2 linked regions of the Oryctolagus cuniculus genome follow. The protein of the gene in region 1 purifies or fractionates together with the protein of each later gene. This does not show direct contact. Links are inferred from orthologs where the notes say so. Each region holds a gene or a part of one and is shown on either strand. Other genes may lie near its edges.

What was found.
Region 2: the proteins of NKAPD1 (region 1) and CSNK2A2 purify together in Homo sapiens (affinity purification with mass spectrometry; 5 studies listed by BioGRID and IntAct, counting the BioPlex papers as one, with this or other methods). This does not show direct contact. The link is inferred for Oryctolagus cuniculus from reciprocal best matches to the Homo sapiens genes NKAPD1 and CSNK2A2.

The regions. Positions count from the first base shown.
Region 1 is NC_091432.1:104,018,927-104,025,169, reverse strand, and holds the start of NKAPD1 (uncharacterized protein NKAPD1), read right to left. Parts: upstream 4,818-6,243; 5' UTR 4,679-4,817; exon of another isoform or gene 4,119-4,678; intron 2,949-4,118; 5' UTR 2,941-2,948; coding exon 2,872-2,940; coding exon of another isoform or gene 2,865-2,871; intron 2,291-2,864; exon of another isoform or gene 1,454-2,290; coding exon of another isoform or gene 1,436-1,453; intron 1-1,435.
Region 2 is NC_091449.1:41,550,908-41,558,352, forward strand, and holds the start of CSNK2A2 (casein kinase II subunit alpha'), read right to left. Parts: upstream 4,323-7,445; 5' UTR 4,177-4,322; coding exon 4,073-4,176; intron 3,319-4,072; coding exon 3,207-3,318; intron 1-3,206.

The sequences.
Region 1 (6,243 bases):
GGACCATTTGGAGAATAAACCAGAGGATGGAAGATCTCTCTTTTCCCCTCTAATTATGCCTTTCAAATAAATAAATCTAAAAAAAATTAAAACACAAATATGATGTTGCCACATACTGCTTAAGAACATTTATGTCTTTTTTTTTTTTTTTTTTTGGACAGGCAGAGTGGACAGTGAGAGAGAGAGAGAGACAGAGAGAAAGGTCTTCCCATTTATGTCTTCTTTATTGCCTACAGGAAAAGTCAAATCTTCAAGCATCACAATCTAACTGTAATTCACCTCTTGGGCCTTATCTTCTACCACTAATACCTAACTCTCCCTACTTTCTGGATGGAGAGAATTTCTTAGCATGCCACATTCTTTACTGTTGCCATATTTAGTGCATGATACTCTCTGTCTGGAATGAACCTCAATATTTGATAAAATAATATACATCCATGAAGAAACAGTTCAAGTATTAGCAGCTTGGGGCAGGCATTTGGCATGCCTGGTTTGAGTCCTGACTCTACTACTTTTTTTTGTTTTGTTTTGTTTTAAAGATTTATTTATTTATTTGAAAGGCAGAGTTACACAGAGAGAGAAGGAGAGGCAGAGAGAGAGAGGTCTTCCATCCACGGATGCATTCCCCAATGCACAGGCCACAGTGGCTAGAGCTGCACCAATCCAAAGCCAGGAGCCAGGAGTTTCTTCTCGATCTCCCACGTGGGTGCAGGGGCCCAAGGACTTAGGCCATCTTCTACTGCCCTCCCAGGAAATAGCAGAGAGCTGGATCCGAAGTGGAGCAGCCGAGACTTGAACCGGAACCTATATGGGATGCGGGCACTGCAGGTGGCGGCTCTACCCGCTATGCCACAGCGCTGGCCCTCTCCTGCTTCTGATCCAGCTGTCTGCTAATGGACACTCTGGGAGGCAGCAGGTGATGGCCAAAGCACATGGAGACCTGGACTGAGTTTCAGGCTCCTGGCTTCAGCCTGGCCGAATCCAGGCTGTTGCAGGCATTTGGGGAGTGAACACGTGGATGGAAGAACTCTCATTATTTATCTCTATGCCTTAAGATAATAATAATAATAACTTTTTAAATATCAGCAGCTCGGGGTTGGCACTATGGCACAAGTTAATCCTCTACCTGCAGTGCCGGCATCCCATATGGGTGCCACTTCTAGTCCCGGCTGTTCCTCTTCCAATCCAGCTTTCTGCTATGGCCTAGAAAAGCAGTAGAAGATGGCTCAAGAACTAGGGCCCCTGTACCCGCAAGGGAGACTTGGAAGAAGGTCCTGGCTCCTGGCTTCAGATTGGCTCAGCTCCAGCCATTGTGGCCATTTGGGGAGTGAACCAGTGGATGGAAGACCTCTCTCTGTCTCTCCTCACTGTCTGTAATTGTACCTCTCAAGTAAATAAAGTCTTTAAAAAAAAATCCACAGCTCAAATCACCCACCTTGTGAAAGCGTCTCATGTTCTTTCTTTTTTCTTACTTAGAGGCAGAAACACAAGCAGACAAAAAGAGAGCTCCAGGGTGGATGCTGTGGTAAAATGAGTTAGGCTGCTGGTTAGCACACCACAATCCATAATCGGAGTGCTAGATCAAGTCTCAGCACCTCCAATTCTGATCCAGCTTCTTTTAAGAAAAAAAAATTATTTATTCGAAAAGCAGAAAAAGAGAAAGAAGGAGAAACAGAGAGGTAGAGAGAGCTATCATTTGCTGGTTCACTCCCCAAATGGCCGTAGTGGCCGAACTGAACCAACCCGAAGCCAGAAGCCAGGAGCCTGCTTTCCCAGGTACATTAGCAGGGAGCTGGATCGGAAGTAAAGCAGTTGGGACGAGAACCATTATCCATATCCACAACACCGGTCCCCTGATCTTTTTTTTTTTTTTTTTTTTTGACAGGCTGAGTTAGACAGTGAGAGAGAGAGAGAGAAAGGTCTTCCTTCCGTTGGTTCACCCCCCAAATGGCTGCTACAGCCGGCACGCTGCGCCGATCCAAAGCCAGAAGCTTCCTCCTGGTCTCCCATGCGGGTGCAGGGCCCAAGCACTTGGGCCATCCTCCACTGCCCTCCCAGGCCACAGCAGAGAGCTGGACTGGAAGAGGAGCAACCAGGACAGAACCCGGTGCCCCAACTGGGACTAGAACCCGGGGTGCCGGCGCTGCAGGCGGAGGATTAGCCAAGTGAGCCGTGGCAGCCGCCAAGGTCCCCTGATCTAACTTCTTGCTAATGCATCCAAGGAGGCAGCAGATGATGGCCCCTCCATGCAGTGGGAAATTCAGATGGAGTTCCTGGCTGTTGTAGGCATCTGAAGAGTAAAACAGATAGAAGATATCAGTGTGTGTGTGTCTGTCGCCCTTTCAAATAGATGAAAATTTAAGAGAGAGAGAGAGAGAGAGAGAGCACGGGCGAGAGCGCGCTAGTAGTTCATTCTCCAAATGCCCTCAATTGCCAGAGCTGGGTCAGGTTGAAGCTGAGAGCTGGGAACACAGTCCAGGTCACCCATGAGGGGACAGAACCGATTAGTTGAGCCATTGTCACTGCCTCCCAGGGTCTGCATCGGCACAAAGCTGGAGTCAAGAGCTGCAGTTAGACACTGAACCCAGATACTCTAATGTGGGTCGTAGGTGTCTCAACAGCTAGGCTATATGCTTGCTCCCTGTGCAGTCTTTTCTAATTCCCCAACACAGATTTCCTTATTCCTTCCTTGGTACTCTAAAGTACTTTGCAGCTATCTCTACTATATAATACTTATGAAACTATTTTTATCTATTTAAGTAGATAATAAATTGTTCATTCACTTTGGACTCCTCAACTGTATCAAAACAATCCTTGTCACACTGTATGATCTCAATAAGTGTTGAGGAATGACTGGGTTGTACCTCCCACCTTATTGTGAGCATCTGTGTGCCGGATGACATTCCTCAGGAGGACTTTCCCCAAAGGAACCCGGGACATTCTTCAATCTGAAATGAGTCAATAGATAACACTTAGTAAGTATTTCCTTTACCTTACTACCATTGCTTTTATTAAAGTTCATAAAAAAGCATGAGGTAAAGCAAAGAACATTGGACTAGAAGTCAGAGGAATAGTTTTTCCTTTACCATTAAAGGGGGGAATAGCCTGTAATGTAAGGATGAAAGAAGATAACATACATTAAAGTTCTTTGAACAAGACTGCACAAAATTAAGCACCTTTTATTTAATCCTCATAATAACTCTATTTTATATTAGGCAAATACAGTCATCCTTCAATAATCATGGAAACTGGTTCTGGAACCATCACCACCCCCAACCCCCCACCCATAGACACCAAAACCCATGTATGCTCAAATCCCTTATGCAAGGATACTTCAAAAAGCTCATGGAAAATTGAATTAAAAGGTATGTCTACTTTGGTAGAAAAAGTATTTGAAATCAATATAGTTTTTTTTTTTACAATATACATTCTTCATGAACTCTTTAAAGAACCCCTCATATGCATGGATTTCTCTCTCTTTTTTTGGCAACAAAGTAAACTTAGCTTTTAATTCCATCTTCCACTAACTTTCTGAAGTACTTTCATATAAAATGGCACAGTACTTGCATATAACCTATGACATCTCCTGTAGGCTTTAGAGCATCTCTAGATTTCTTCTAATACCTAATACAACATAAACGCCATGGAAATCATTATCATGCTATACTGTTTAGGGAATAATGAGAATAAAAGTCAGTACAGACAATTTTCCCCCCCAAATATTTTCATCCTGCTGTTCCTTGAATCCGAGAATGCAGAAACCGGTACCAAAGGCCAAATGTATAATATCTCCATTCTTATCTTCTAGATGAAGCTCCCTTCAAGTTCTAACTTGCCTCATGCAAACGACTATATATCAATGTCCAGATCAGATGTCAAATCTGGAACCCCAAAGTTTGCAATGAAGTAACACCCAGATTCGATAGCGTCAGAAACTACCCGTCTACAATTACAGAAACTGATGCCTTTTAGGCATGAAATGCAAGATGACCGAAATTTCTCCATTCGGGGCATCGTCAATCCTATTTTGTACAGAAGTTTCCTAAAACTAGATTAACAAGAATATTCACGTGTGTGGTCACCAGGGGTTTTGTGCGACCACCCCAACGCTCACTCACCCCTCGATCCTGAGGTAATCAGGCATCTTGTTAGTGTGAGACGAAGAACCACTCCATTACAAGATCTCCATCGACCCAGGAAGCCAAGGAGTCAGGGCTCAAAGGCAGCTCTGCAGCTTCACCCGAGTCCTTCGTGAAAACGGAGCCTTCCCACCGGTTACTCTGCCCTCACCCGTGGCCCAGGCCACGGCTGCCTCGCCCCAGCCCAGCCCGACAGGCAGATGTTTCTCCTGGCTGAGGCCGGAGGCTGCGCCGGCGCGGAACCCGGACCGCCCGGTTGACCGGGGCATCGCCCGCTGACGCTCCGCTGGAACGGACACCGGGGGTTGGGTTTCACTCCCCAGGAAAGAAGGGGGACGTTTTGGAGTGGTACGACCTTCCGTTGGGCCCCAGGAAGTGTCTACGGTGCCTGACGGGGCCTTTGGGGTTTCCAGGTAGAAGACAGAGAAAACACCCCCATCTTTGTCACCGGGATCCCTGTCCCCCAGCGGCCTTGGAGCTCCCGGTGACTCTCCCTATAAACTCCCTCCCCACACAAATACACACAAACACACCCATACCGTGCGCCGCAGCCTCGCGTGGCGGGGGTGGGGGGGAGGAGGCGGTCTGGGAGAAAAAGGAGGGGGCTTCCCTTTCAGGCCGGAAGCCGTGCTTGGGAGAAATTCTTCCCACCAACGGGAGCGGCGGCGACTCCCGCTGGGGAATTTCCTGGGCAGTCTAGGGGCCGACCCCTGCAGAAGGGAAGCAGGCCCTTTCTTGGAAGTCAAGTGAGTCCGGCTCAGCTAAAAAGTAAGCCGGACCTCAGAAGGGGAGATTCCGGAACTAGATGTAAACACTTTCCGCCTGGAGCTTCCCGGACCCAATTAGGTGTTGTACCCAGTCCGGTTACCCGGGAAACAAGTGTCGCGATTTGGGAACCGAGAAGAGGTGGGTTTGCGGACCTTAGGAATGATTGCCCGTTAATTGCATTTCCTATTTAGTCTAACACTAAGATAGTACTGGAAGACTCTAAACCTCTTGGGCTCTTTTCAGGGATGTTGTGGGACACCTCTCTGACGGGGGGTGGGGGGGTGGGGGGTGGGCGGGGCGAGGAGGGTCATCCCAAGACCTAGAGGAGTTACTCATAGGTCATCCAAGTGTTCCAGCTTCTCCGTAAAGTGGTTCTCACAATGACCCAAAGGAGAGAAGTATTCCTTCTTTAAGAGAAGAAAAAGAAGAAGAAGAAAAAAAACACCTGAGGCACTTTCGTACATTAATTACTGGAAGTCACACTGCTTGTAGGAGAGAGCTGAGATTGGAACCCGGGCCTTCTCTATCCACTAAAGGACTGAAATTCTGTGGTACTCACCCCTACACAATTCTGGCGATTTCACGTTTGAGGATGCACCATTCAGCCAATACTCAGGGTGTAGGAACAAGGCGATCACCAAGAAATCCAGACTTAAAGTGACTGCTTTGTTCCCTTGGGGTTTTTGACGGTCCAAGTGGAGGTAAGGCCCTATCTGAGAGGACAACTGGAGCACTTTGTAAAGGCTACTAACCAATGACAGAATAAGGAAAACATTTGGGGCTTGCCTGTTAAGTTGCTGTCTGCGATGCCGGCATCCCATATGAACACTGGTTAGAGTTCAGTCCCGGCTGTGGCACTTCCTATCCAGCTCAGACCCAGATAGAGTTCCAGGCTCCTGCCTTCTGTCTGGCCCAGACCGGGCTATTGGGGCCATTTGGGGAGTGAACCAGTTGATAGATCTCTCAGCTGCCTTTCAAATAAAATAAATTACAAAACAAAACAAAACAAAACACGGGGCCAGCACTGTGCCTAGCATCTTAAAGCCCCAGCCTGCAGCGGGAACGGGTTTGAGTCCCAGCTGCTTCACTTCCAATCCAGCTCCTTTGCTAATGTACCTGGGAAAGCAGATGACTCTGCACCCACGTGGGAGACCCCAAAGAAGCTCCAGGCTCCTGGCTTTAGATGTGCTCAGCTCCAGCATTTGTGGCCATTTGGGGGAGTGAACAAGTGGATGGAAGACCTCTCTAACTCTTAAATAAGTCTTTAAAAAAAAATACGTAGGGCCATTGCTGTGGCGTAGCGGGTTAAAGCCCTGGCCTGAAGTGCCAGCATCCC
Region 2 (7,445 bases), on another chromosome or scaffold:
CGAAGCCAGGAGCCAGGTGCTCCCTCCTGGTCTCCCATGCGGGTGCAGGGCCCAAGCACTTGGGCCATCCTCCACTGCCTTCCCGGGCCACAGCAGAGAGCTGGACTGGAAGAGGAGCAACCGGGAATAGAACCCAGCACCCATATGGGATGCCGGCGCCAAGTGAGCCACGGCACTAGGCCCCCTACATTTATTTTTAAAAACAGTGTTGCTCTCAGCTTCTGCATAGGAAATAGCAGTTTAATTTGAAAGACGCCAAGGACTCAAGAAGCTGCAGTCCACACTCCCGTGCAGGGTGCACAAATTCTACAAGTTGTCACAAACGGCCAAAGGCTTTTTATTTCTGTGTGTATCTTTCTCACTTTTTTAAAAAAGGCACTGAATGGGGCTGGCGCTGTGGCATAGCGGGTTAACGCCCTGGCCTGAGGTGCCGGTTGGAGACCCAGCTGCTCCACTTCTGATCCAGCTCTCTGCTATGGTCTGGGAAAGCAGTAGAAGATGGCCCAAGTCCTTGGGTCCCTGCACCCGCATGGGGGACCACAGGGAAGTTCCTGGCTCCTGGCTTCAGATCGGCGCAGCTCCGGCCATTGCAGCCATCTAGGGAGTGAACCATTAGACGGAAGACCTCTCTCTCCCGGTGTAACTCTGACTTTCAAATAAATAAATAAAATCTTTAAAAAATAAAAAAGGAACTGAAGAACAGTTTTTTTCCGAAACCAAAAGATGAAATTTCTGACACTGAAGGAGCTTTCTGTTCTGCTATATAAACCTCTACCATTTCCCCCCTTTTCTCCTCAAAACAATTTCTGTAAAAAAAAAAAGTATAAGCTCCATAGTGACTGAACAACTCTTGAGACTTCAGTCTCAGAACTTTACTTGATAGAGGCATTTTGCACACCAGTTTTTAAATTCCTAAAACGTAATGGCCCCAATACATTCTGATCATTGAAATAATTGGAAATGTACCCATGACAATGTATGTCATTAATGAATGACATAAAACTCCTCCACAGTCACTCCCCTTGCAGCCTCTATCAGCTATAGGGAAGAACTGACGACACTTGTAACTGACAGCAGAGAGAGGGAAGACTCCTCCTCCCCAAGGGGGACCCCCTGCATCTCGGTCACGTGTGCACATTAACACTTAGCTCCTGCCTGCAACTGCAACGTATGCAGTAGCATACACGACAGGGAAGCCTTTTCTCCATTCCTCTAAACACAGCAGCTATTTCCTATGAGCAAACAGCACAGCGGTAGGCATCAGTCCTAACTTCAACTCTGAGTAACGGAGCGCAACTCTGGATAAAGACCTTACTCTTTAAAAAAACAGTACTTTTAATCCACTTTCCCAACAATACAATTAGTGGTTTCTTATCCCATCCTTTAGACAGGAACAACATCTGGACAGAAACGCTGCAGGGCTTTGGAAAGCATACAGAAGGAGTGTAGTGTTCAGCCCTGGAAGCAAGGTGGTTCACGCCGCACCGTGAAAAGAAGCAACAAGAAACGCTTCATCAACTGGACACCAGAGGGGCCTGCGGAGCTCATTCCAGAACACTGGAACTTACTCTGGGCGCAACATGAAGATCCCGCAATCCAGCGCCGAAGAAAGCTGAGAGGGAAAAGCAGGGAGCAGCAGTGCTGGTGGTGAGCTGGCTGAGTTTCTTTGTGCCTGGGCCTCTCCTTTGTAAAAACCACCTGTGGCAGTCTTCATATTGAGTTCCCTAAAACATCCCAGCACGCTTCAGAGAACAGGAAAAACTCTCTAGTCACCAGGAAGTGCTGTGCAAGGATGACCCAGGAGCAACGCGATGCTCTCCTGGACAGACAGGCATTCACACACACACCTGAACGCTGCGCCGTTCAAAGAGGACACAGGAAATGGCACTTACTCTAACAATGCTGCTGTTGCACCAAAGTTTAGACATTTTTCTGGAACTGCCTCAGAGTCAGCACTCATTCTTCCAGACAGACAGCTGGGGAATACGGCTATTTCTAATTCCAACTTCAGCTCTGCTTCAAGTCAAAGCAGCCTGCAGTAAAGCATTTTGCTTATGTACACAGAGGAATTACATGGCCTCCCCAGGTGACTGCCTTGAAGGAACACCATTTCTTCACATATTTATGCTTGTTGGGGTGGGGGGAGGCCCTGGGACTTCACTGGTGGCTCATATTCAGGGGAGGGGGCGCCAGTCTGCAAATCCCTAACACCCGTCCCTCACTTCATGTGCCCAGCGTCTGACGGCACAGCGGCCTCTGCCGCTTTCTCTCTACCAGAATCCTGCTCCTCCATCACCGGCTAGGACAGCACTGAGCGAGGCTGCTGGGCACGGTTCTGAGAGGCGGCTCCCAGAAAGCCTGAGCCCGGCCTGAGAGGACAGGGCCTCCCCGCACAGCCTGACATGCACAGGCAGCTTCTGAGCCCCACAGCCCCCGCCACAGACCCTCTCCAAACACACGTTCAGGGATCTGGCGATAATGAAGACCCATGACAGCTTCTAAGAACAACTTTGCAGGACACCCAGTAAAACATTATTAAAGCCACACAGTTACCTGAAGCCAACTCTTCAGGCTCATTACGTCTTCACTCAAGAGATAACAGAAGGCCTATCATCAAACTTAAGATTGCGAAAGCAGACATCAGACAGTTTTGTTCCAACAGCTTGAGTGATTAAAAGTGCCTTCTAACTCCAGTTTTACTAGCTGATAAGCAGCTCCAGGGCTCCCAGCACTCCCTGCGCCCCTCAGCTGTCCCACCTGAAACTTCACTGTCAGAGGAGAAACAAGTGGTTATCACCCCGAGGAGTTTCCTTCCCCTTGGCTCCAATTTTCTCCAACTTTCTTTGTGGACTAACAAACACAGCGCTCAAAGAGCCCTCGGATCCATGGAATCTCCATGAAAAGGCTTTTCTTCCCTCTGAATATTTATTTATTTTGTAACAAATGGGGCCCTTTTGGGATTTTTGCTTTGGGAACCTCTAATTTACATTTTAGAACAAGGGTGTTCCTGATCCGTTCTGCTTAGATTTAAGGCCGGTCTGCGTGTTTTCTTAAGTCCAAGGAAAACGGGGTGGGATCCGGGCGTCCTGGACAGAAGAGACATAACGCAAGAGCCGGCACAGCTCGTTCTAGAAACGAGGCTCGGGTAACTCACGTCCTTTTGGCCTGTGGGGGAAAAAGTTACAAACCACTTATAGGAGACTCACCTTCAGAATTTTTACAACCACTCTCTCATTGTTGGTGATGTTAATGGCCTCAAATACTTCGCTATACTTTCCCCGACCAAGTTTTCGAACCAGCTGGTAATCATCTTGATTACTGTGAGAGGCAAAAGACACACATAAATGCTGGGCCTTGGGGTCCGCCGAGCCTATGCCCACGATACGCCCCGGCCGGCCACTTCCACGAACCAAGCGCTTGGAAGTGTCTATAATCCATGCTGCAACTCAGTCCCTATATGAAAGCTACAACACACACCAGGCTCCTGCTGCTCTGCAGGGCTCCCAACCTAACTGGTCCCTTGTAACTTGGGGGTAGACGCTCTGAGTCCATCATCCATCTCGCAGACCCTGGGAGCACTCCGCCCTGCCCGCGGTTCCACAGCACCTGCCCCCTATTTCACACCCCGAAGGTAGCCAGCGCCAGCTCTGAGAATCTGCACATCTTTCGAAAAAATCCCCCCCACCCCGCCTCGTGTCAGAAAACTAAAAAAGCAGCGCATTTTCATAGAAGACAGCTGTTGACTCCCCACCCCGAGAGAAACCCCCAGCCTGAGGGGCGGCTGCTGCCTCCCTTCCGCGCTAGGCCCTGGTCCCCCCCCCCCCCCGCCGGAGGGAAGGGGCAAGAGGGGTGCACAAAGCTGGGGGCGGGGGAGGAACGGCCGCGGGTGAGGGAAGAGGAAGAGGAGGACATGTGCGAGGTGGGGGCCTCTGCCGCCCAGCCCAGCCCTGCCCCGGCGAGCGGCCTGCGGGAGGCAGATCGCGGGGGCCGAGTGCGGTTTGCGCCGGGGGGCGGCCCGGCGGGGGTGGGGGTGAGAGGCCCCGGCGGGGGGCGGCGGCGGCGGCGGCTTTACCCCCAGCTCGGGACGTGAGCCTCGTAGTCCCAGTAATCGCGGCTCCTCAGGCTGTTCACTTCGGCGTAGACCCGGGCCCTGCTGCCCGCGGCCGGGCCGGGCATGGCGGGCGGGACCGGGGGGCGCCGCGGGGCGCAGAGGGCGGCGGCGGCGGCGCGGCGGGGGGCGCGGGGCGGCGGGCGAAGGAGGCGGCGGGCCGCGGGGCGCCGGAGGAGGAGGAGGAGCGCGGCGGCGGGCGGCCGCGCCAGGCCGGGCCCGCGGGGGCGGGCGGGCTGGGGGCGCGGGGGGCGCCGGCCGAGCCGGCCCGGCCCTGGAGCAGCCGGCGGGGCGGCGGGGCGGGCGGCGCTCGCGCTCCGCGGCGGCCTCCGCTCGGCTCGCGGCCCCCAGGCGGCGGCGGCGGCTGCGGCGACGGCGGCGGCGACGGCACCGGCAGCGGCAGCCACCGGCCGGGAAAGGGGCAGCGGCGAAGAAGGAGGAGGAGGAGGAGGAGGCGGAGGAAACCCGGAAAAGGGGCCGCGCTCACTAGGAGCGGCCGCCGCCCAGCCCGGGGCCGCCCAGGCTCACAGCGCCCCCTGCAGCGTGGGGGGACCCGCGGGGCGGTGCCGGCCCCGCCCCCCGCCCCGGCGCGCCGGTCGGGCTCTCCGCATCCTGGGGCTGGCCGGGTCTCTCCCGCAGGGCCACCCCGCCTGCCGTCGGCTGCCCTTGAGCCCTTGAGGACTGACCCCGAGACGCCCACCCCAAGACCGTCACCTCTGGTCATCCAGACCTTACCCACCCCAAGACCTCCCGCAGTACCCGGTCTTGATAGCCCTGTTACCCAACCGCTCTTCCCCAGTGACGCACTCTTCAACCGCAGAACCTCCCCCACCTCAAGATGTCCCCTCCCCTCGTGTGTGTGTGTGTGTGTGTGTGTGTGTGTGTGTGTGTGTGTGTTTTAATCCCTTTTCCCCGCTGTGGACCCTGCTCTGTCACTCGCAGACTCCTTGTCCTGAGACCCCATGCTCCTTCATCCCAAGTCTTCCCCACAAAACCCCTCTCCTACACCGTCCCCCACGTTCTCTTCCAGAGCCTTCTCTGAACGTCCACTTCGGTCACTTGGTTAAGCTGGGGTGGCCAGTCTGGCCTGTTTTGTGCCTTCTAGCCCTGAACTCTCTTCTCTCCTGCATCTTCTGGGTCTTCCTTGTGGCTGGCTCCCCCTTCTGCCCCACTCTTAGCGGCCCCTCACCCAGCCAGCCAGCTCTGACTCCCATCCTTTTTCATGCTGCTTCCTGGATAAGGCCCTTGATGGAGTTCAGCATTGTAGATTACCCTGCCGCCTGGGCATCCCGCATGAACTCTGGTTGGGGTCCTGGCTGCCTCTCTCTCTCTCTCTCTCTCTCTCTCTCTCTCTCTCTCCCCCTCCTTCCCTCCATCTCCTCCTGTCTGTGACTCTGCCTTTCAGATAAACTAAATCTTTAAGAAAAAAAGACCCAGGGCAAGCATTGCAGTGTGGAAGGTTAAGCCACCACCTGTAACACTGGCTTCTCGTTTGGGCACCAGTTTGAGTCCCAGCTACTCCACTTCCAATCCAGTTCCTTGCTAATGAGCCTGGGAAAGCAGCAGAAGGTGGCCCCCAAGTCACTGGGCCCCTGGAATGCACATGGGAGACCTGGCTTCGCCTAGGCCAGCCCTGACCTTTATGGCCATTTGGGGAGTGAACCAGTAGATGGAAGATTTCTCTCTGTCTCTCCCTCTCTAACTCTGCCTTTCACATAAATTCTTTTTAAAGGAGAAAAAAAAAAAGACCCTTGATACAGCTAAAAGCACAGATTATGGAGTCAGAGCTATCCAAACGTGAGTCCCAGCTCTGCTGCTTACAAGCTGTGTCCTTGAACCAATTACTTAACCTCTCTTGGCTGCAGATTTCACAGCATGAAACTGCTGATGGCGCTCACTTCCCAGGGTTGTGCAAAGAACCCAGACTGGGCAAACCTTGTAAAACGCTCGGAGCGGTGCTCAGTATTAGAATACTCAGTGCACTGCACGACCAGTACCAGACCAGGGCCTTATTCCTGTCATGTTTCCCTCCAGGAGACGAGCCCACGTGCCTTGCAGTTCCTCCCACCCTTCCAGGTGACCAAGGGACACCTCCACCCCCACTTTCCTATGGCTGACTCCTTTTTCCTCTTCAAGTCTCACCTTTAAGTCACTCTGTCTAAAGTGATGTTTCTGTATCTCAACACCCCAGCCGCATGCATCACAAAACTGCACATCTTGGCACGGGTTATTTCCTGGTTTATTGTCTGTCCTCTCCCCACTGTGAAAACAGTGTGAAAGCAAGGAGTGGCTCTGGCAGCCCCTCACCGGCTCACCCAGCAGTTGCCACAGTCAGAGGCCTCCAGTGGTGCTAACTCACAGAGGACTTACGGGTTAACCCATGGAGAACCTAGGCGTCACTGCCTTAACTGCGGCCCAGACTTATCATCCACAAGGAACCAGCTGAGCCTTCAAAGTGACACGCTAACGGGGGACATATCACCAATGGTTCCTCCTGCCAAAAATGCGGAACCTGAATTTAATCGTGACACAATCAGACCAATGCAAACTGCAGAATATCCTGCAATGTGGCTAGCCTGGACTCTTCAAAAATGCCGGTGTCACAAGAGAAACAAAACCGAACCCTGTAGTCATGCTCTTGACTACAGGAGACTGACTTGGCTATGGATCGGCGCAGCTCCAGCCATTGCGGCCAACTGGGGAGTGAACCAGAGGATGGAAGACCTCTCTCTCTCTCTCTCTGCCTCTCCTTCTCACTCTGTATAAAACTTCGACTTTCAAGTAAAATAAAAAAATCTTCAAAAAAATAATAAATAAAGGAGACGGAGAGACCTAAGTGAAGTGAACAATTCTGGACCAGATTGTGGGTTCAGAAAGAAAGGTGGAAAGGAGAGGAAGGAGGAAGAAAGAATATAGTTAACAAAGGACACTGCTGGGAAGACTTGCATCTAGGATGTCCGCTCTGTGATAGCATTGGATAAATGTTAAGTTCTGTGAGTGCGAGCCATGTACTGTGGTTGACACAGCAAGGACATGAGCCTTGGAGCCTTGTCCATGTGACTGAAAGTAGATCCAATCCTCCAGGGACTTCCTAGACCTCCAAATTCTTCCTCAAATGAGTTTGACCCCCACTTCAGTCATTTAGCCCTCAAAAAACCCACGCAAACCAGCTCAGCCCTGCCTAACGCCTTCCCCCTCATGGCCCTCAGTTGCCTTATGCTGTGTGAACGTAGCCTGTGAAAGAGTTCAGACCTTCGACCATGTGTGTGTCCTGTGTGCACACTGGTAGAGGGCCCCTCTCAGGTTTATTCCCTTGAGTAAACTTGCTCTGGCTGTG